3 linked regions of the Drosophila melanogaster genome follow. The protein of the gene in region 3 interacts with the protein of the main gene of each other region in a pairwise test. Each region holds a gene or a part of one and is shown on either strand. Other genes may lie near its edges.

Region 1 (7,470 bases), on a different chromosome or scaffold from region 3:
TCGGGATGCATGTGACCCAACACCGGATTGCTCATGGCCTCCAGGACGCGATGGGAACAGTTGGAGGGTCCGGGCCCCATCAACGTCTTGCTGGGCACATAGAGCGGTCGCTTGAGTACAAGTGGCGGTGGTACCTCCATGGTCTTTGTTCCCTATTTACGTAATCAGATCTCTGTGTTTACGACTGCCTTATCGCCTTCTGCTCTCTAATCCGCTGTGCCAGGTAGAATGGGTGTTACTACTGTTTGGTGATGGGAGTTGGTTTTTATGGGCTGTCTCTCTCGGTGGCTGGCCAAGATCGGACTGAAACGCTTGCCGGGCTGCTGGCCACTTTATAGCGCACCGGATCGCAGCTTATCGCCGCAATTTTCGCCGATGAACGCACTTGAACAAGTGGTAAATGATGCGCTCTCCCGCTTATCAAGGCATCAAGATCGAGAGCAACTGCGTCGTTGGCGGCACAGAACGAAATTTGGAATAAGAATAATAAGTTAAGACTGCCATTTGATGGGTCAAAAAATCATACACAGTTTTAAGACAAGATCTTTACGAAATAATATGACTTACTACTCAATTAATTTCATTGTTAATCTGAAAGAAGTACCATTTTTTGTTTGCAGTGTGCTGCTGCTGATTCTTTGAATGGCCTTGGGAAGGTTGGCGGACCAATGTCTATTGTGAAATAAGAAATCCAGCGAATTCAGCAAGACGAACCTTGACTGTGGGTACGTATACGTAATGTAGCAACTTCTTTTTCGAAGCTGGAAGCATCTGCAGAGTGCAGAGATCAAGATCTAGCATCTAGATCTTAATTCTCTCGAAATCTCAGCCCACTGACAACTAACATTTGGGTTGATAGCAGTGCCCGTATCGTCAGTTTTTCCATTAGCGATTTGGAGTGGAAAACACATCGTGACCAGGAGGTCAACCGCCAATAATACAAATGTCGTATTGAGTGGCCGAAAATATTTATTACCATTTCGCTGGTGGTGAAATTAGAATCAAAATAAAAACAAAAACATAGATTTAGGAAAGTGATAAGCAGTCAAATTAGCAGGTCGTGACTATAAAATTTAAATGTTCGTTTAAATATTGATTGATTTTTCCATATTTAAGGCACAAGCATCTTTTTAAAAACATTGTTTCGAATGTAGAAGTAAGTTCAGTTTGGTTTTAATATATTGAATTAATTATATTGAAACGAATTGAATATAGAATATATATTCTATTACAGTTGACTATATTAAACATATATATGTATAAATATGTTTATTTTATGGCCTTTTTGCTTAATATTTAGTTATAATATTTTATAATTTTCCTGAAAGCAATTCACCGGTGGAAACAAGTTTTCTTCGTTTTGGCGCTTGGTCACACTTTCTGTTTCGGTCAAAACAAACTGAACAATAGTTAATGTTTTTAAACATTTTCGATGCGACTGCATAATTAGGCATGGAAATCGGCAACGATCAGTCCTATCAGGACTTCTTCGACAAGTTGCGAAGGTGAGTCTGTTTCTGGACGGGATTGGGACACTTGGCACAGTGGTATATACATATTAAATATATATGAACTCCAGTGAATCGGGTCCTCGCAACTTGCGCCAGATCTTTGAGGACGACGATCGTCCGCTGGCGAACGAATCATCCAGCTTGCGCTATCAGCCAGGCAGCTCCAAAAAATTGCAGGCTGGCAAAAGACCGGCCATGACCAGGAGTAGCACCCAGGAGACGGGTGATTCACCGCCTGCCGCCTGGAACACGGCCATTGCCAAGGTGGTGCATGCCTATCGGAGCAGCGAGAACGTTGGACGCGTCGGCCTGGCCCTCTCGATTCTGGGCGAGATGGAGGCCAGCAAGCTGATTGTCTACCGCAGCAAGAGTCAGGTGCTGACCACGCTGCAGTTGACACCGCGTGGCGGCAAGGTGATACTGCGCGAATCCTATCTGCAGTTCTACGATGACGAGCAGCGCTTCTGGAGCCTGCGATTCGACAAGGAACCGGATGAGAAGGAATTCATAACGTTTATGGTCAAAAACAAACTGCCAGTGGAGCACTATCTCAGCGAGATCTCATCCTCCAGCTCGGCATCGCCTTCGCGTGAGGATTTATCTAAGATCCGAACTAAAGCAACGGTCACAAAGACGACGCCTAATCCGCCACAGCCGCAACCACGTTCCCGCGTAACGCTGCCAACGCTGGAGAAGGCGGACGATGAGGAACGCGAACGGGAAACAGAGACACCTTCCAATGAGGATGTGATAGTAACGCCAGTGCCGCGACCCATAGGTTCGTCAAATGCTCACAGGAAACTCAGTGCCAGTTCCCTGGCGGTGGCCAACGCTTCAACGAGCAGCGATACTCCGTTGGCTGTGACGACACTGGACAAATATCTAGACGAACAGCGTGCCTCGGGTGCGTTAATGGAGCACAAGATGGACGCCATTCTGCAGGCCATGAATCGCATGGGCGGCCAGTCGAGTGTTGCGCCCAAGAAGCCCAGTGATCCGCTGCTGGAACGCGACAGCGAGGACGAGATGCTGGAGCTGGAGCAGAAGCTGCTCAACTTGAAGCGGGAGAATCGAGCGCTAATGCGCAACCTCAAGGCACGCGAACAGGCGCTGGAGGATCTACGCTGCTCGGCGTGCGCCCTTTGCGAGGAGCTACTAGTCCAGAATGGCGAGCTCAAGTCGCAGAATGCCCAGCTGTTGTTAGCCAGCCAGCATATTTCCGATTCAAGCACAGCTGCTTCGCCTGCCCATTGCCGCAATTGCGAGTCGTCTTCCCGGCAAATAGCCAAAATGCAGCTACACATTTCCGCACTGCAGGAAGCGCTGCGAATCTTTCAGAAATCAGGCGACTCCAGCTCCAGTTCGGGTCGGTTATAGCACCTAACGTAGGCGTATTATATATGTTCGGTATTACTATCGAAAAGTGTATTAAATCATTTGTTAGGTCGCGTAACATATCCACAAATACAAGCCAGACACTATTAGCTATCTTTAAGTCATTAGATTGCCATGTTATTGGGCTCATTTACAAAGCGATTTTCTAATCTATTACAACTATTATTACTAAATGTGAGATATAAAATATGTTGCGGAAGATTATAATTAATAGCAACCCATGCTTTGCTCTCTCTCAATTATGAAAAACTCCGACTTCCTCTTGTACAAACTAATTTGTTGTATTTGCAGCACACATCGGGCTGAAATTTAAGGTATAGGGACAAGTCTACGGTTTGCGCGTCTCATAATCCGTGGGAAGAGTTCATGGAGAAGTTGTTTTGGGGCCTGGAACTGGAAGTGGAACTGGCAGTCTCTCTGTGGAAGTGAGGAGCGGAAAGGATGGGCTGGCGGTCCTGCTCCTTTACGTTTTTACGGCTAAAATGGAAAGCGAGCTAGTTTGCGGAGCGAGTGCTTTGGGAGGCAGCTGTCTATCCATCCTGATGCTGATCCAGATCCAGATACAGATCCACATCTAGATTCTCTTGCTGATCCAGTTAATCCTTGTTTGTTTCTTTTCTTTCTCAGTAGGTGCTGCTGTCGCTGAGGCTGCTCAGGTAGCTGCTGCCGGCGGTCGGAGCACCGGATCCGCCGGCACGATGTCGCTTCCGCTTCGCCTTGGTCTTCTTGCGTCGCAGCATGGCCGTGTCCGTGGACTTGCGCTTGTACTTGCCCTGCCGCTTCTTCTTGCGTCCGTACTCATCCGATTCACTGGTGCTGGACTCCTCGTTGTCGCTGGAATCCGATTCAGACGAATCGCTCGATGTGGAGGAGTCATCACTCGAATCATCGCTCGATGACGACGATGAGCTGCTGGTTGATGACGAGGAGGAGGAGGAGGACGACGACGACGACGACGAATCCGAGCTAGAGGTGGAGGATGATCGTCGTCGTTTTGACTTCTTGTTGGTGCTGCCGCTGCTCGGTCGCTTGCCTGTTTTGGTTTTGGCCAGCTCGCTGCTGCTGTTGCTGCTGCTATTGTTGGTGTTTGTGGTCTTTTTGTGCTTCCGGCTCCTCTTCTTGCCATGCTTCTTGTGCCGCACCGACTTCTTGTCCTTGCTCTTCTCGGCCAGCTTGTGGCTGCTCTTTGAGTGGCTACGCTTCTTGTCCTTGCTCCGGCTACCCTTCTCCTTCTCTTTCTCCTTCACCTTCTCTCTCTCCCGCTCCCTTTCCCGCTTCTTCGCCTTGAGCCTGTCGCGGCTCTTGTCCTTGCTCCTGTCCCGTTTGCCTGCCGCGGGAAGCACCGCTGGCTCCGTTGGCGGCGGCACCTCAGCGCCACTCTTCAGCTCCTGGGCTCTCAGTTCGGTGAGCGGCGTAAGGTAGTCCAGCTCCGAGTCTGAGCTGGTGCTCTCCACATCCAGCAGGATCTCCTTGTTGGGGTCCACCTGTTCAGGATAGCGGTTAGCGGCGGATAAAAGCAACATAAACATGCGGTCTATGCGATTGGTGCGCTTACCTTGAGAAAATTGCGGCATTGGTAGGTCAGGTGACCGGCGTAGCCGCATTTCTTGCAGGCAGCCCGCAACGTATCCTTGTTGACGCTCGCCAGTGGGAAGTTCATGGTTGCCGCTCCGCTGCCGGTCGTACCTTTGCGGCGTTTGGCGGGCTGGGGCTGGGGCTCTGGCGTTGGGCGGGCTTGTCCACTGACTGATTATTATTTCGCCTCGCGCACCATTAATTGATATGTGCACAACAACAACAACAACGATACCAACAACAATGGGGTAAAAATGAAACGCGAGTTGAAGTAAATCGCGTTTTTAGTGCGGCCATGCGGCCGCGTTTCGAACATACCATGCCGGCAGCACACCGGTCCGCTTAGCCGTGACAAGCACCGATAGGCTGCGGTATGCTAGCTGGGGTGACACTGGCACGGAAATACCGTTGCCCGAACAAGAGCTGGTCACACTGCACGCCAGCACGGCTTAGTTGTTTACCAAATTTGAAGCTCTACGGTTGATCCGCGCATGAAAGGGCGCCATAAAACAATAAATAACTTGAAGAGACGAATCCGCGAAACGTTTAACAGTTATCATAATATCCAGCCTATTGGCGTAGTTCGCTGCGCCGACTGTGTTATTAACTACGCTGTTTGTTTTTGTTTTTTGCAAGTGCTTTTGAGTGCCGAAGTTAAAAAAAAAGTCCGTGCGTAAGCCAGCGCCAGTTCAATCCGCCCGCTTGCGTGAAGGACCCAGTTTTAGCCATGGCCCAAACAGAGGCCAAAACCACGTGCACGCGGCGTCGCCGCCAGTTTTTGCCCCATGGCCAAAATAGGCAGCAGCAGCTGCAGCAGAAGCGGCAACAACAACATTGTTAGCGGTTTCCACTCAAAAATATACCGTGTGCTACATAATGCCGTTAGATATTTGTAACGGCTTAGATCGCATACCGTTAATCGTGGATTGTGGCACTAACTGAACTGGTCGTACGATTGTTGTGATTATCCTTGCTGCGGATCCCGACTATTAAAAGTGGGGATAAGCATTGGCAACAGTTGGCAATTCGTAAGCAGTCATCAGGTGAGTGGAGAGTTCATTATAAAAAAATTAAATTGAAAGTGGTATAAAATTAAAAACTATGCACACTGCAATCGTTTAAAACGAATACGGTTAATTAAAAGAAAATGATTGCATAGTTAATTTTGTGCCATTTAAGTGTCGGCAGTTAATTCATTCGAGTGTCAAATTTCGTACGGTGCGACTGTTTTATTGTCGGCCAGTGTGACCAATGTGCATTGCAATGCATTCATCGCCTAGGCGACCAAAACCTCGGCGTATTAATTACAAACAAATTAAAAATTTTGCCTCGCCCGCTGCCCACGCCTTAATTAAAGACGCCAAAGAGTAACGGTAATAACCGACAACGGGAACGACGACCGTCGGGGGTTTGCGTTATTCGTTATTCGTTATGCCTTATTGTTGTTTTTGTACTGCTGAGGATGCTGCACGTTGTTGCACTTGTTGTTGTTGCTGGCGTAATTGTGCCAGACATCGTCGCTCATTCTCGCTAACGCTCAGACTGCACACTGAAAGAAAAGCTGGAGAGTGAATGCATCTAGTGGCTGCATTTCCGTATTTAACGAGCAGTGTGACCATTGCCTGCCAAGTAGTAAGCTTTAGCTTTGCATTTTTCATTAGTATGACATAGTTGGTTAGAGATAAAAGAGGATTGGTCTAATCTTTATAAATTGAAAGCATCAGCTAAAAGTATTAATATTTCAACTCCTGCACTTAAAGCATTAAGATTACCCGTTTTCATTTTGTATTTCTTTTTTTCCAAGTGGACCCCAAGCGCCACCCCCTAAAATCACCCGCACACGCCGCACCCCGCCCCGCCCCGTGGCCACATTTTCTTCTGGGTCCCTGCCTGCTTTTGTTGGCAGGAAAAAATAATAAAAGCTAGGGGCTGAAAGGAAAGGGGGGAAGGGGAGGGATAGCGGCAGGCAGATGGAAAACTGTGTCGCTTTCGCCTGCGTGCGGTGACTGCAAAACTGTTGCCCAAAACAAATGACTAGAAACATGGTTGTGCCCCACTCTGCCACGTCCGTCCGTCTTCGCCATCGCTGATTTATGCCAGCGGCAAAATTATGAAAAATTGTTGCAGCTAAATTTAAAAGAAATCTGAAAGTAAACACAACCGAGAAACGTACACCAACGTGGCGAAAATAAATAAATTCGATAATTTATCCATAAATTCTGGACTCGCAGCATTTTCGGCGTCAACGGCGGCTATCGGCCTTGGCTACCGTTGGTGCTAGTCGTGCTAGTGGTAGTAGCAGTAGCAGTGGCAATTGTAGTTCAACCATTCCACCCATTCAGACGGCCATCCCTCTGCTTTGTAGCAATTAACATGTGCAAATTTCTGGCCACATAAATTTCCGTAAACTGTTTGTTGCTCCCAGCGCCAAATCTCTGCGTCTGTCGGGAGGAGCCATAAATTTCTGGTCGCGATGGATGGGGAGTGTCCAGGAGCACAAGATCTGCAGATATAGATGGTAAATCTTTGGAGGCAAAGGCCAGATAAAGCAAGGAAATTGGCCAAGGAGATCAATTCTCAGAACGTAAATTACACGGATTGGGATTTTTATCTATCCAGCTAGACTGGCCTTGAAATGGCACAACCAAACCAATCATAAATTTAAGTCTTTTATTTATGATATATTCAAAGATTTCCGATACCGATTCCAAGCCAAGGTCTGCTAATTTAAAGCAAGAGATGCGTGACAGCAGTGCGACCAAACGCCATGGTAACGCATTTAAACGCATAAATCATCACAAAGTTATGTAGATGTACTATTGCTTAATGACACAATCAAAATATTTCGCTGTGGGCACAAATTTCCTTTTGCATTCACCGCAAACCGAACTCAAAACTGCAAGGTGGATAAGATGGGGGGGGCAAATTAAACCAGATCGAGCTCCATAAGATCAAAGTCGAATAAAGTGGAGCGTAATCCTTGCCGCCG
Region 2 (6,579 bases), on a different chromosome or scaffold from region 3:
CTTGAATTAATATTTAAAAAACCGTTACCTGATGCTCAACCAGGGTTCCCTAAACAATCGGTTATCGATTACCATCGATACTTTGAACGCCGCTTTGAATGTGCTGCAAAATATGCCTAATAATAAATAAGCCAATATATGTTCTATATATTTTTGATGCTGCGCTAATGTAACACATAGTATAAACTTATAAATGTTATGGAATCCTTGCTCTCCAAGAAAAAATCTTGCACTCGATAGTATCGAATCGACATCGGGTTTTTGTTCATCTCGAAGTCTTAAAGTGAGTCAGGCGGTTTAACGTGCGGTTTTTCAGCGTATTTGATTTATCTGTTTTTTATTAAAAGTCGCGGAAGAACTTAGGAAAATGTCGACCCTGGCCTCTCCTCTGTCCATTGCTGGCACCCGCCAATCCGGCGCATCGGTGCGCACACAGAACGGTGAGAATCCCGGGGTTTTGTCAACATCTGCGGTGCGTCTGCCGGCGGAGCACGTTTCTTACTCATCGCGGGTCACGCTCTCCACGAAGAATGTTCCGGAACCAACCCGGGGGAGGGCGATCTTATTTTAATTGGATTAACAAAAAAACTCATTGAATCCAAGGAGCTACAAGATCCTGTGGACAAGCCTATGCGAAGTGAGGTTATGACTACAACTCGGCTTTTATATGCTTTCAGTTATGGCCGCTCTGTCCATATCGAACATCGTGAAAAGCTCCTTGGGACCCGTGGGTCTGGACAAGATGCTGGTGGACGACATCGGCGATGTCACAGTGACCAACGATGGAGCCACCATTCTGCGACTGCTGGAGGTGGAGCACCCGGCAGCCAAGTGAGTTGTTGATGTGGGAAATCTTTCAAAGAAGTACTCATTTCTAAATTTTAAGGGTCCTGGTTGAGCTGGCTCAGCTGCAGGACGAGGAGGTCGGCGATGGCACTACCTCGGTGGTTATCCTGGCCGCTGAGCTGCTGAAAAACGCCGACGAGCTGGTCAAGCAGAAGATTCATCCTACCTCCATAATCTCCGGCTACCGCATTGCCTGCAAGGAGGCCTGCAAGTACATCTCGGAGCATCTGACCGCTCCCGTTGATGAGCTGGGCCGCGATTCCCTGATTAACATTGCCAAGACCTCGATGAGCTCCAAGATCATTGGTGCTGACGCAGAGTTCTTCTCAGCCATGGTTGTGGACGCTGCCCAGTCGGTGAAAATCACAGATCCCCGTGGGCAGGCAGCCTATTCGATTAAAGCCATCAATGTCCTGAAGGCCCATGGCAAGTCTGCCAGGGAATCGGTGCTGATTCCCGGCTATGCCTTGAACTGCACAATTGCCTCCCAGCAGATGCCCAAGAAGATTGTGAACGCCAAGATTGCCTGCCTAGACTTCTCGCTGCAGAAGACCAAGATGAAGATGGGTGTCCAGGTCTTGATCAATGATCCCGACAAGCTGGAGGCTATTCGTGCCCGTGAGCTGGACATTACCAAGGAGCGCATCAACATGATCCTCGGAACCGGTGTCAATGTAGTACTGGTTAGCGGCGGCGTTGATGATTTGTGCATGAAGTACTTCGTTGAGGCTGGAGCCATGGCTGTGCGTCGTGTGAAGAAGAGCGATCTGAAGATCATTGCTAAGGCTACCGGCGCCGCCTTTATTACCTCGCTGACCAACATGGACGGTGAGGAGAGCTTCGATGCCTCAATGGTGGGAGAGGCCGCAGAGGTGGCCCAGGAGCGCATCTGCGATGATGAACTTATCCTCATCAAGGGCACTAAGGCACGGTAAGTGCAGATTATATCATGCAGTAACATAGTTTGCTTTATCGTATCCCTATGCCTTTTTAGTGCTGCCGCATCCATTATCTTGCGTGGTCCCAATGACTTCTACTGTGATGAGATGGAGCGCTCCGTCCACGACGCTCTGTGCGTGGTGAAGCGTGTGCTGGAGAGCAAGAAGGTTGTAGCCGGCGGCGGCTGTGTGGAGGCTGCTTTGTCGATCTACCTGGAGAACTTTGCCACCTCGCTGGCTTCCCGCGAACAGCTGGCCATTGCCGAATTCGCAAAGTCGCTGCTGGTCATTCCCAAGACTCTGTCCGTGAACGCGGCCAAGGATGCCACTGATCTAGTGGCCAAGCTCCGCTCCTACCACAACTCCAGCCAGACGAAGCCCGAGCGTTCGGATCTTAAGTGGACCGGTCTGGATCTGATCGAGGGAGTGGTAAGGGACAACAAGAAGGCTGGAGTTTTGGAGCCCGCCATGTCCAAGATCAAGTCGCTGAAGTTCGCCACGGAGGCCGCCATTACCATTTTGCGTATTGACGACATGATCAAGCTGAATCCGGAGGACAAGAGCGGCAAGAGTTACGCCGATGCATGCGCTGCCGGCGAGCTGGACGGTTAGACATTCTTCACCGCGAGCGAAGCACATTTCTTCTATCTTGTTTAGGCATTTAATTTTAATCAAATCACTCACTTTCAATTGTCGCCCCATTGATTGTAACAACAATTTAATTGTGTTGCCCTTCGCGATCTGTATTAACACCGCACATCCGCAATCCTTTCTCATCCATGCTTCAATGTATAATAAACTGATCTTCAGAATATGCTGAGGCGTAAACTAAATTGGAGGGAAACAGTTTGTTATTTCGGGAGAGCGATCTGGCCAAGAGCAGGCAGAGAGCGATCCGGAGAGTGGGATGTCCTATAAATAGAGCGTGCATCTATTTGGTCTATTAATACAAAAAGAAAACACATCCCAAAAAGCACGGAAAACGCACATTGCTCTACGAATTTTTATCATTTAAAAAGAATTCTTCATAAAATGGCCGATCATAACGAAGATGAAGCTGTTGGCGGTGACCTAAACAACAATATAACAGCAAATGGGCAGGAGGAAGTGCGTCAGCCGGAGCAGCCGCAGAACGAACTGCTGGACATGGTTTTCACGTTGGAAAGCGAAAAACAGGCACTACTAGAGGAGTCTCGCAAACGGATCGGAGCGCTCCGCAAAGACTTTGAGGTTAGTTACTCGTCTCCACGGGCTGCACCCACTTACTGACCCTGATTGCAGGAAGCCAAGGCGGAAAATGAGCGTTTAAAGCGGAGAGTGGTCCAGTTGGAGCAGTCGCTCAAGCAGTCCGTCATGCTGGGCGGCACAGATGCTCCCAAATCACGACAAGAGCAGGAGGAGCTGCTTCTAAAGGCCAAAACCCTGCTGTTCGAGAAGACCAAGGTGAACAAACAGCAGGAGCAGCAGATATCAGTGCTTAGGACACAAGTAGACTCGATTAAGGATGTGCTGCAGGTGACCAAGGACATGTTGCAGCTAAAGACCGCCGAATGTGATCACACGCAGGCTCGTCTGGAGAAGAGCCAGCAGTGGATCAAGGCGGAGCAAGACAAGTGTGTGCTCACGGAGAAGAAACTAGCCATCTCCAAAGGAGTGTATGACAAGCTGCGTTCGGAGTACGACACCCAGTCACAGATATTCAAGGTGCCTTATAACTCGAGTCCAATGATATACTTGATATACTATTACCTTCTTTCCCTACAGGATCTTAAGTCCGCGTACGAGCAGAAGGTCAAGGTTCTCACCAAGGCTTTGGCAGAAGCCAAGAAATAGCTGAACAATTTAATAAACTACGTTAATTAAATGCACACATCTCGTTAATAAGTTTAATAATTTAATGCTTTCCGTGTCTCGTGTCTCTGTCGTTCTCCGTAGTCTAGGAGCTCTGGGTAACCGCCGGCTGCGATTGCTGCTGCGACTGCAATTTCGCTGCAGCAGCCTGCTTCATCTCCAGCACACTCATCACTGAGTTATAGAAGCGCGTCTTTTGCAGGTGGATCTTTTCGATTTTCTCGATCTGCTCCTGCACGTACTCCACGCGTCGCTTGAAGTAGTCTTTGGAGCCTTCCAGATCCTGTTTGAGAAACAGATGGCAATCAATAAATATTCTAGGTTCGATTGGAAATGTAAATCACCTTTTCAATGTAGTAGCCGGTGCCGATGTCTATGACGAACCTGTTGAGATCCTTGACCCGTCCTGGCACATACATACTGCTGGTCAGGGGCACCAGGATCTGACGGTTCTCCCAATTGGGTTGAAAGGTTCCCAGCGCCTCCTTGGATCCGGCGTACTTGGCTTGACAGCCGTGAAGCGTCGACAGCGAGTCCTGTACGTTGGTAATCTCCTAAGGATCACAAAAATGTACCGATTTTAGAAGCATGTGCCAATTGGGGCGCCCCTCCTCCAGAAACCCCCTCCGCGAGCACACTTGACTCATCACACACCCACATGCGGAACGCACCTGCTCGAACTCCTGCTTGATCTGAATCAGCTGTTCCGGACTCAACTTGGTCAGGTCGATCATCTCGGACTTGGCGGGTGCGCTTGGGGTGGCAGCCATTGCTAGTGCTTACACTTATAATTTACAATTCCACTTTTATTTTATTCAGTCGCCGTATAAGGTTGCCACCTTTGCGTATTCAACTCAACAGGGATGTCATGAAGCTGGGTCAGAAAATATCGATTTCACGGAAGCAATCGGGAATCGAATGATTCGTTGAAATAGTCGGTAGTCCAGTCCCGCCGACGATTTGTTATCGAGTACTAAGCGCGAAGTAAAAATTTAAAAAAAAAATCAGTGACTTCTGAATCTACAATATCTTTTGAGTTTAAAGACAGATCTTACTCAGCAAAAAAGCATTAACCAAACTTGTTTTTCAATTATAGTTTTATTGTATTTATTATATGCAATGTTATAATTCTGTGTTTTGTCAGTCATTCTGTATTTGTATGCGTTTTACAATTTTTGTTTTTGGTTTTCTCGTAAATTATAAAATCTAACACAAAACAAAGCAATTTCTTTAACAATCACTGCCGCTACATATACACGTTACAATTTGTTAAATATATATATATTTATATATATATAAGTAGGCACAGCTCAAGCGCCGCGCATCCAATACATGTTCATATACATATTCTCTGTTATATGTGGGGTGTTGTATGTCGGTTTTTATATATGTATAGATTAGATAACAATGATTTTAAGCCTAAGTAGAAGTAAGTTTTAGTTCCGATACTTGCGATCGTTCCCCTCTATATGCGCTCCCACTCGCAATCGCTGCTCCTCCGATCCTTGAACTATTAAGTTATATGCTTTAACTATGTTATTTTACCCATACAACTAACTGTACTCGTCCTTCGCGATCCTCCCACTATATCATACATACATAACATTTACCTTGATTTGGTTTTGATCTTAATAAAATGTAATTCGTTTTGAAACAATGAAGAAGATCTTGCTTTTGAGGGCGTGTCGATTCGATTTCTTAATCGCGGATATTTTAAGCTCCCCATCTGGATTTTGGATTCAATATCGTGTGCTCGCTGTTAAATCGCAAGGCAAATTTGTATAATTAGTTATATATAATTTGGTTTTCTCTTGAATCGAAACGAATAAACGTTAGTGGTTTACTTTAAATGCAGAGTTTTCATTGTGCAGCATTAACATTGTGAAGAGATAGAGAGAAAGTTGTCGGGAGAGAGTGTTACATTTATAAGTGGGAATGGTTTTGGTTATCAACAGCGTTAAAATTTGTGGTTTCTTTTCGTTTGGTTTCATTATCAAATCGAAGGGACGTAATTCGTAATAATAATCATTGATCGTTAAACATACTCGTACGTTATATGGTATGCATGTATGTATATTTTGTATAGATGTACATTTATAAATAGTATAGTTTGAATGTATGCGTGTATGTCCTGTATATATAGTTGTGTTTATGTACTGTACTGTACTGTATGTACTGTATGTACTGTGTTTCGCTATGTACTTGTAATTGTAATTGTCCTAGGTGTTCATTTCAGCTAGATTCGCTAGTTTGTCTCGTGTTTTCGCTTTCGCTTCCTTTTTGTATACAAGATAAGGGTTTAAAAAACTCGAAAATATATCAAAAGTTTCTTGAAATGCAGTATATATATGTTTTTTAGTTGTTAAATATATATATATATATTCATGTATATATAGTACTTTCCTAGGTATTTACAGCATACCTTGCCTTGGTTTCCATTAAGAATTCGAGAGAAGTATGTCCAGTAATTTCGCTAGTGATCGAATGCGTGAGTTGGTGATTGTGTGAGTGAGGTGAGTGTGCGTGTATTAGTAGTAGTATATCGAGTGTATATAGGTATTTTGTATATCTAATCCAAAATGATACACTAATTGGTATTGATAGTGAGACAAAAATTTTAATATAGCGCATCAAAATGATATATGCGATTATTAATATGTATACAGAATTTAATGGCGGCTTGCTGAATATCGAATTTCGCGTCTATGTATGTGTGCTTGTGTAATAGTATGTGGGTGTAAGCTGTGAGTGTGCTGGTGACTGCTGATTGTGTATACGTCACGTGGGCTTCGAAAAATACGCTTAAAGCTGCTATAATACTGTAAAATTGTTGCTTGATTTCCTCATTAGTCGACGGTAAAGTAATGTTCGCTCACATTGAATAGCAGTTGTTGTAGAAAAGCTAGGTAGGTTCGCTTCAGTGTCTTCGAATTTTGCGTGTGTG
Region 3 (6,173 bases):
CCTACTGGCACACTTTGGAAATCAACACCAGCGGCCGCTATGTCAGCGGCGATGTCAAGCACTTTGAGAATGGAACCATCCTGAGTGCCAGCACCTCGGAATGGGCCATTAAACAGCAGTTGTACAAGACCAACGACACATCTGCGTTTGTAAATCTCGGCAGAGTGCTCGCACAGCGCTGCCTGCAGTCTGGGATCACGGAAATGACCTGCAACGTGGAGGCGGTACCGGGTAGCAAGCTGCAGAAGCTGCTTCAAACCATTCAGGATAATGGGGTGTCCTTCAAGGAACCCTCTCGCCTGCCCAACGAGCAGCCCTGGGATGAGAAGAGGCATGAGAAGCCCTGGGAGGTGTCGGAAGACGCACTGGAAGCACCCAAATCAAAATAACCAAAAGAAACCACACTTAGTTATCGTTTCGTTTAGAATAAACGTTGATTATTATTGCTAATTACAACAAATCATGTTAATTTATTCGTATTTGCCCTTGATGTCCTTCCAGAGTTTCTGCAAAGCGGGGAAATCTTGAGATTTGGCCAGGAAACTTTGCTTACATAACAGGATTATACTTACGCCTTTGTTGATGCCCTCGAAAATCGCAACCGACGTGACATCGAGAGCGCGCTCGAAGAAAAAGGCCGACGCGATGATGGCCACGGCGTAGGTGGAGGTGCGCTTGAACAGGGTGTTGTAGATAACCTTCATGTTGGCTAGATTTTTGTTAAAGACGTCCGATTTGTTCCCAATCAAACTTTTTCCACACGCCAAACTCACAGCTGATTTGTTAGGTTGAGTTGACAAGCAGTGTTGGAAACGTCCTGAATCTAAATACTAGTGTCACTCCGCCTATCGAAATTACGCATTAGTGCTTATTCTTGAAAAGTGTTTTTAATTGAGGTCGAAGGTGTTTTTTGTTGTCTTTGAAGCGGTCACACTGGTCGATGGGGCAAAAACAAACGATTTGTGAATATGCCAAATTACCAGGATATTTAGCGTAATTGGGCCTTATCTGCGTGGACCATGGACATAGGCACTATTGAGCTGAGCGTGGAGGCGCTGATAGGATCCCTGCTGGCCCTCAGTATCCTCTTTGCCTTCTGCCGCAGCCTGCTTTCCGAGGACTTTGTGAGCACCTTCAAAACACGTCACAGCTGGAAATCAATAAAAGTGTTGGAACAGGTGAGCGGATTCACTTGCCGCGAAAGAGATACCATAGGATACATGCCCTTCATTCTAGGCCTGCTTCTGCAATGTGTGCGAGATCCTGCTAACCCCCTCCGCAGGACTCTTTTGCGACTGCTGCGGCCTGTGCACCCATGCCACGCCCCCTTGCCAGCGGAGGGCGGACAGGGAGTACCGGTGCAAGGACAAGTGGTTGCGCAACGAGTCCTCCGTGCGGCACTTGTGGGTGCATGGCAATCTGCCTATGGGAGTGCATTGTGCCGACTGCAACGAGGAGGTGGATCACCATGTCAGCACCGATCCAGGATTATACGGATGGCGATGTGCATGGTGTCAGCGGTGCTATCATAACGATTGCTACACTCGCGCTGACTCCATGGAAGCCTGCGACTTGGGCGAGTTCAAGGACATGATCTTCCCGCCATACAGCTTTGTGGCCGCCCGAACCAGAGACTCGATGCGGCTCCACTTGGCCAGCATTACGCCGCCAGACATTGAGAACTGGGAGCCGCTTATTGTGATCGCCAACACCAAGTCGGGCAGCAGTACGGGTGCCAATGTGTTGTCCCTGCTCCGCGGTTACCTGCATCCGCTGCAGGTGATGGAACTGGGCTCGAGGGGTCCGCAGGACGCCCTGCAGTGGGCCGCCAAAGCCAGTCCTCGCCCGTGTCGCATACTGGTGGCGGGCGGCGATGGCACCATCGGTTGGGTGCTCAATACAATCTATACGCTGAATATCAAGCCCCAGCCCTCGGTGGCCATCATGCCGCTGGGCACCGGCAACGATTTGTCGCGAGTTCTGGGCTGGGGAGCAGAGCCGCCCTCTGTTCTCGACCCGGTGAAGATCCTTAGGAGCATACGGCGAGCACGTTCCGTGAATCTCGACCGCTTTGACCTGCAAATAGAGAAACTGCACTATCGACTGCCTATTCAGAGGCATCCCACGAAGACGATTCATGTGTACAACTATTTCAGTGTAGGTGTGGATGCGTACATCACTTACAACTTCCACAAGACGCGCGAATCTCGATTCTATCTGCTCAGCAGTCGAATATTCAATAAGGTAGGCTACAATCTAGTGTGCTTACTTAACGTTAACTAATGTATCCATCTCGTCAGCTGCTGTACTTTACCTTCGGAACGCAACAGGTGATGCAACCTGGCTGCGAACACATCGAGGAAAAGCTGACCTTGTATCTGGACAACAAGCCAGTGCAACTGCCTGAGCTGCAGGCGCTGGTGTTCCTAAATATCGACTCATGGGGAGCTGGCTGCAAGCTCTGCGAGCTAAGCAACGCCAATGGTGAAGTGCGCATTGTAAACTCCATCTCCGATGGTATGATGGAGGTGTTCGGCATTGTTTCCTCTTTCCACATTGCCCAACTGCAGTGCAATATAAGCAAACCAGTGCGAATTGGCCAAGCCAAGCAAATAAGGGTAAGCCCTGCAGTGATGGAACCGAATATTTGTTAACCAACAATCTTTTTTTTAGCTACAAGTCAAGGAGACCGTGCCAATGCAGGCGGATGGCGAACCCTGGATGCAGAGTCCAGCGGATATTCGCCTCTCCTCGCGTAGTCAGGCCCGCGTCCTCAAGCTGGCTGCAACCTGAACATTAATAGCTAATACAGAATAGAATCCCTTATGTGCCAGTCCCTAATCTCAAAGTACTTAACCTGGAACCTCAATGTATACTTAATCGAATTCGGTTAGCAAGGCAAGTAAAGACACCCACACCACCTAGTGGAAAACCGAAACTAGTCGAAAAATACACGCAATCGTATTTGATTTGAAATAAATCCATTTTTATTAAGACGCAATCTTTTGAAATATAATTAAATGTTCGACTGGTGTAACATGCTGCCCCTTGAGGGGCATGCACAACATTTGGGTCAGTATTATCGAAAGGCGGGTAAACAACAAAATCAGGAGTGCAGCTAACGCTGAAGCCCGCTCTAAAGCATAGTAAGCTCCATGATGGCGTTGACGATGTCATTGTTGTTGTTCTTCAGAGCCTTGATCGCCTTGGCCCTCGTCGTGTTGGCCTGCGTGATGACCAGCTCGATATCCTTCTCATCCACGCCGGTGTCATCGACATCCTCCTCGTCTTCCTCGGCAATGGGGGCCACCGATGTGGTGGCGCCCACGCTGTCTGCAGCGCCAGCAGCCTCCGGGGCCTTGAACTTCTCGGCGGCAGCCACCTGGGCCTGTTGCGACAGATCCTCGATCTTGGCCTCACCGAACACGATGTAGGTGTCGCTGTGGGGGTTCTTGTACACATCTGGGTTGTTGATCACGAACAGGATGTTCTTCGACTTCCTGATCGTCACCCGGTTGACGCCCTGGATCTGCTTAAGTCCCAGCTTCAGCATGATCTTCCTGGCCTTTTTCTCGCCGCGCGATTGCTTGGCCTTTGAGACGAGGTCGATGGGCAGACCGGTGGCACCTCCACCCAGCTGTGTGGTGGCCGCTACAGCCTCCTCCAGACCAGGCATGCCACCATCGGAGTCGCTATCACTGCCATCATCCTCAACGCGGACGTCCTCGGGTTTCGCCTCAGCGGAGGTGGAGGGCGCAGCCTCGCTCTTGATTTCGGTCAGTTCGGGCATTTTAATCTGTGGGGAAGCAAGTGGAGAACACGAGGTTAGGTAATTGCTTTGCAAATAGTATCAATTATGCTAAGGGAAAACATCTGGTGCCGGTTCAAAGGCTCAGCGATGTGTCTCAGCGGGGGTCAGTTGGTATTGATTTTTCAAGTTCAATTGGAAAATCAATAATTCGCTACCCCCGTAGATCTAACTCTTAACTATGATATTTTACATAATTTAAGGCGCTAATTCACTGATATTTCGGCAAAAGTTAAATTGAAGTCGAAAAATGCGGAGTACACACACCTACCGGAAACGAAGAAAAGAAATATGGCGGAGGGGAGTGTGACTGTCGCTTAGCACGATTTTTCTTAAATCCAAGCGATATATTCTGTCAGTGTGAACGTATGCGTATGAAGTATGACAAATTCAAACTTTGTGGCTACTCTATTTCATAATTACGTTACTTTCAAAAAAATGACAGTTTCAAAATACATTTTTAATCTTTCACCTCTATAGTAAAGCACTATGACTAAAAATTTATAATTTAATTTGACTATCAAGGCTTGCTGAAATAATCGAACTATAAACAATTATGGGAGTAGCTTAAAAAGCAATAATATCCCAAGAAACTAGTTCTTTTTCGTAATTATTCAAAGCAAGTGTTAAATATTTTTTCAAAGGTGTAGTTCACTGTTTGGGTCACCTTTGCTTGCAATCTTCTACTAACGTAATATTTTAGTTTTTGATAATGCAGTTATAATTTTACATAAAAGAAAAACATTAAAAACAAATTGATAACACCGCAACATTTTAAGTGGCTTACTCAAAGGGAAGGAAAGGAACATCACAGATTAGGCTCAGTGGCATGATTAATTTCTGCAGTGACTAGCAATAACTGCACTGCTTAAATAGTAAAATTAAACGAATGAATGGTTTCACAATCGAATGTTTGACGGCTTTTCTTCCCCACCCAGTCTGTCACTTGAAGATGACGATCTTCAGTTTGCCAGTGCATTCTACAAACGCTTCTCGAAGTGCTCCTTCACGTGCAGACGCCTGGAGGAGTATTTAATTAATTGAACATGCCTGATAAGGCGAGTGCCTCCACACTCGGTGCATGATTTCACTTACAAATTTGACTCCGCTGACTTTGTTAGAGGAAGTTCACCGAGAAAAATTTGATACCAGTTTATTGTCATTTATACTAGTATTTGTAAAGGTAACTTGGATATTCGATATAAGTTTTTACATGAACTTAAGAAATTGATAATATTAGTTAAATTTTAATTAGGTTATTTGCATATACTCTGGTCTTTCGAAAACAATACAACATAAAAAATTAGGTCATGTTTCGGGATAAGTTTATTTGGCCAAGTTGAAATATCTTAAATCTTTTTTATAATTACTTTAATTAAATTTTCTTGTGTATCAACCATCTTTAGACACGTCTGGTTCGAAAGACAAAGTCCAGAGCTACTTTGTGGTAGGTTGGATGGGCGATTAGATCAAAGGAGACACACGCCAGATGACTGATCCCCTATCGCCATTAGATAACGTTCCGTTTGAGTGGCCACTCCTGGAGCTAATAAAAAGCACGACTGTGAAGGGACTCCTCACAGTGAACGCTGTAACGTTCAAGACACCAAACCTCCGAAATGAAACTACCAATCCTTCTGATAACCCTTGTGGCCATGGTGGCGGCCAAGTCCGCACCTGGTCGCATGGCCGCCCGGTACGACCACTTCCGTATCTATCAGCTGACCATTGAGACGAACTTGCAGATGGAGGAGCTTAAGAAGATTCACGAACACATCTCTGTAAGTACATACAAATTCCATTCCATTTCTGAAAATCATATATGTATGTCTTGACTTGATCCAATTTAAAGGTGCACTTCCTCAACGAACTGGGTGCTGTTGGAAACAAATACAATGTGATCGTTGGTCCCTTGTTCCACAGAGCCCTCGAGAAGACCCTTAAATTCCTCGAAATTGTTTACGAAGTGATTGTCGACGATCTGCAGAAGTGAGTACTAGATTCTCAGATGAGTTATAACATTACAAAAATCTACACTTGAATCCTCGCAGATTGATAGATGAATCCTCTGTTGGCGACGATTCCCAGATGGAATGGGAGACCTACCACACTCTGGACACCATTTACGATTGGATCGATCAGGAGTGTGCTGCCCACGATTTCCTGGAGTGCAAGGTGATTGGACAGTCCTACGAGGGTCGCGACATCAAGAGCATTAGGTTGTCGAAGCGTTCGGGCAACAAGGCCATCTTCCTGGAGGGCAACATCCATGCCATGGAGTGGATCTCGTCGGCCACCGTCACCTTCCTGTTGAACCAGTTGATCAACTCCGAGGATCCGGAAATGCAGCGACTGAGCGAAGAGT

Evidence for each region. The genes of interacting proteins can lie anywhere in the genome.
Region 1: the proteins of Nacalpha (region 3) and CG3918 interact in a two-hybrid assay, tested with the Drosophila melanogaster proteins (one large-scale study listed by BioGRID).
Region 2: the proteins of Nacalpha (region 3) and CG5376 interact in a two-hybrid assay, tested with the Drosophila melanogaster proteins (one large-scale study listed by BioGRID).

What each region holds. Positions count from the first base shown.
Region 1 is NC_004354.4:6,521,786-6,529,255, reverse strand, and holds CG3918 (uncharacterized protein), read right to left. Parts: upstream 4,793-7,470; 5' UTR 4,567-4,792; coding exon 4,462-4,566; intron 4,391-4,461; coding exon 3,530-4,390; 3' UTR 2,914-3,529; downstream 1-2,913. Other genes in the region: Agxt (Alanine-glyoxylate aminotransferase), read right to left, coding at 1-140; CG3342 (uncharacterized protein), read left to right, coding at 1,453-1,505, 1,580-2,888.
Region 2 is NT_033777.3:22,485,120-22,491,698, reverse strand, and holds CG5376 (uncharacterized protein), read left to right. Parts: upstream 1-2,743; 5' UTR 2,744-2,816; coding exon 2,817-3,014; intron 3,015-3,065; coding exon 3,066-3,488; intron 3,489-3,548; coding exon 3,549-3,617; 3' UTR 3,618-3,666; downstream 3,667-6,579. Other genes in the region: CCT1 (chaperonin containing TCP1 subunit 1), read left to right, coding at 368-440, 678-831, 887-1,777, 1,841-2,396; Pfdn5 (prefoldin 5), read right to left, coding at 3,721-3,918, 3,980-4,189, 4,307-4,405.
Region 3 is NT_033778.4:12,756,726-12,762,898, forward strand, and holds Nacalpha (nascent polypeptide associated complex protein alpha subunit), read right to left. Parts: upstream 4,275-6,173; 5' UTR 4,080-4,274; exon of another isoform or gene 4,076-4,079; intron 4,068-4,075; exon of another isoform or gene 4,002-4,067; intron 3,800-4,001; exon of another isoform or gene 3,797-3,799; 5' UTR 3,791-3,796; coding exon 3,137-3,790; 3' UTR 2,968-3,136; downstream 1-2,967. Other genes in the region: mRpL18 (mitochondrial ribosomal protein L18), read left to right, coding at 1-389; ox (oxen), read right to left, coding at 471-506, 573-704; Dgkepsilon (diacyl glycerol kinase epsilon), read left to right, coding at 1,020-1,178, 1,237-2,244, 2,301-2,618, 2,674-2,793; CG12374 (uncharacterized protein), read left to right, coding at 5,428-5,589, 5,661-5,797, 5,860-6,173. UniProt on the Drosophila melanogaster protein: May promote appropriate targeting of ribosome-nascent polypeptide complexes. Required for correct localization of the osk/oskar protein to the posterior pole during embryonic development.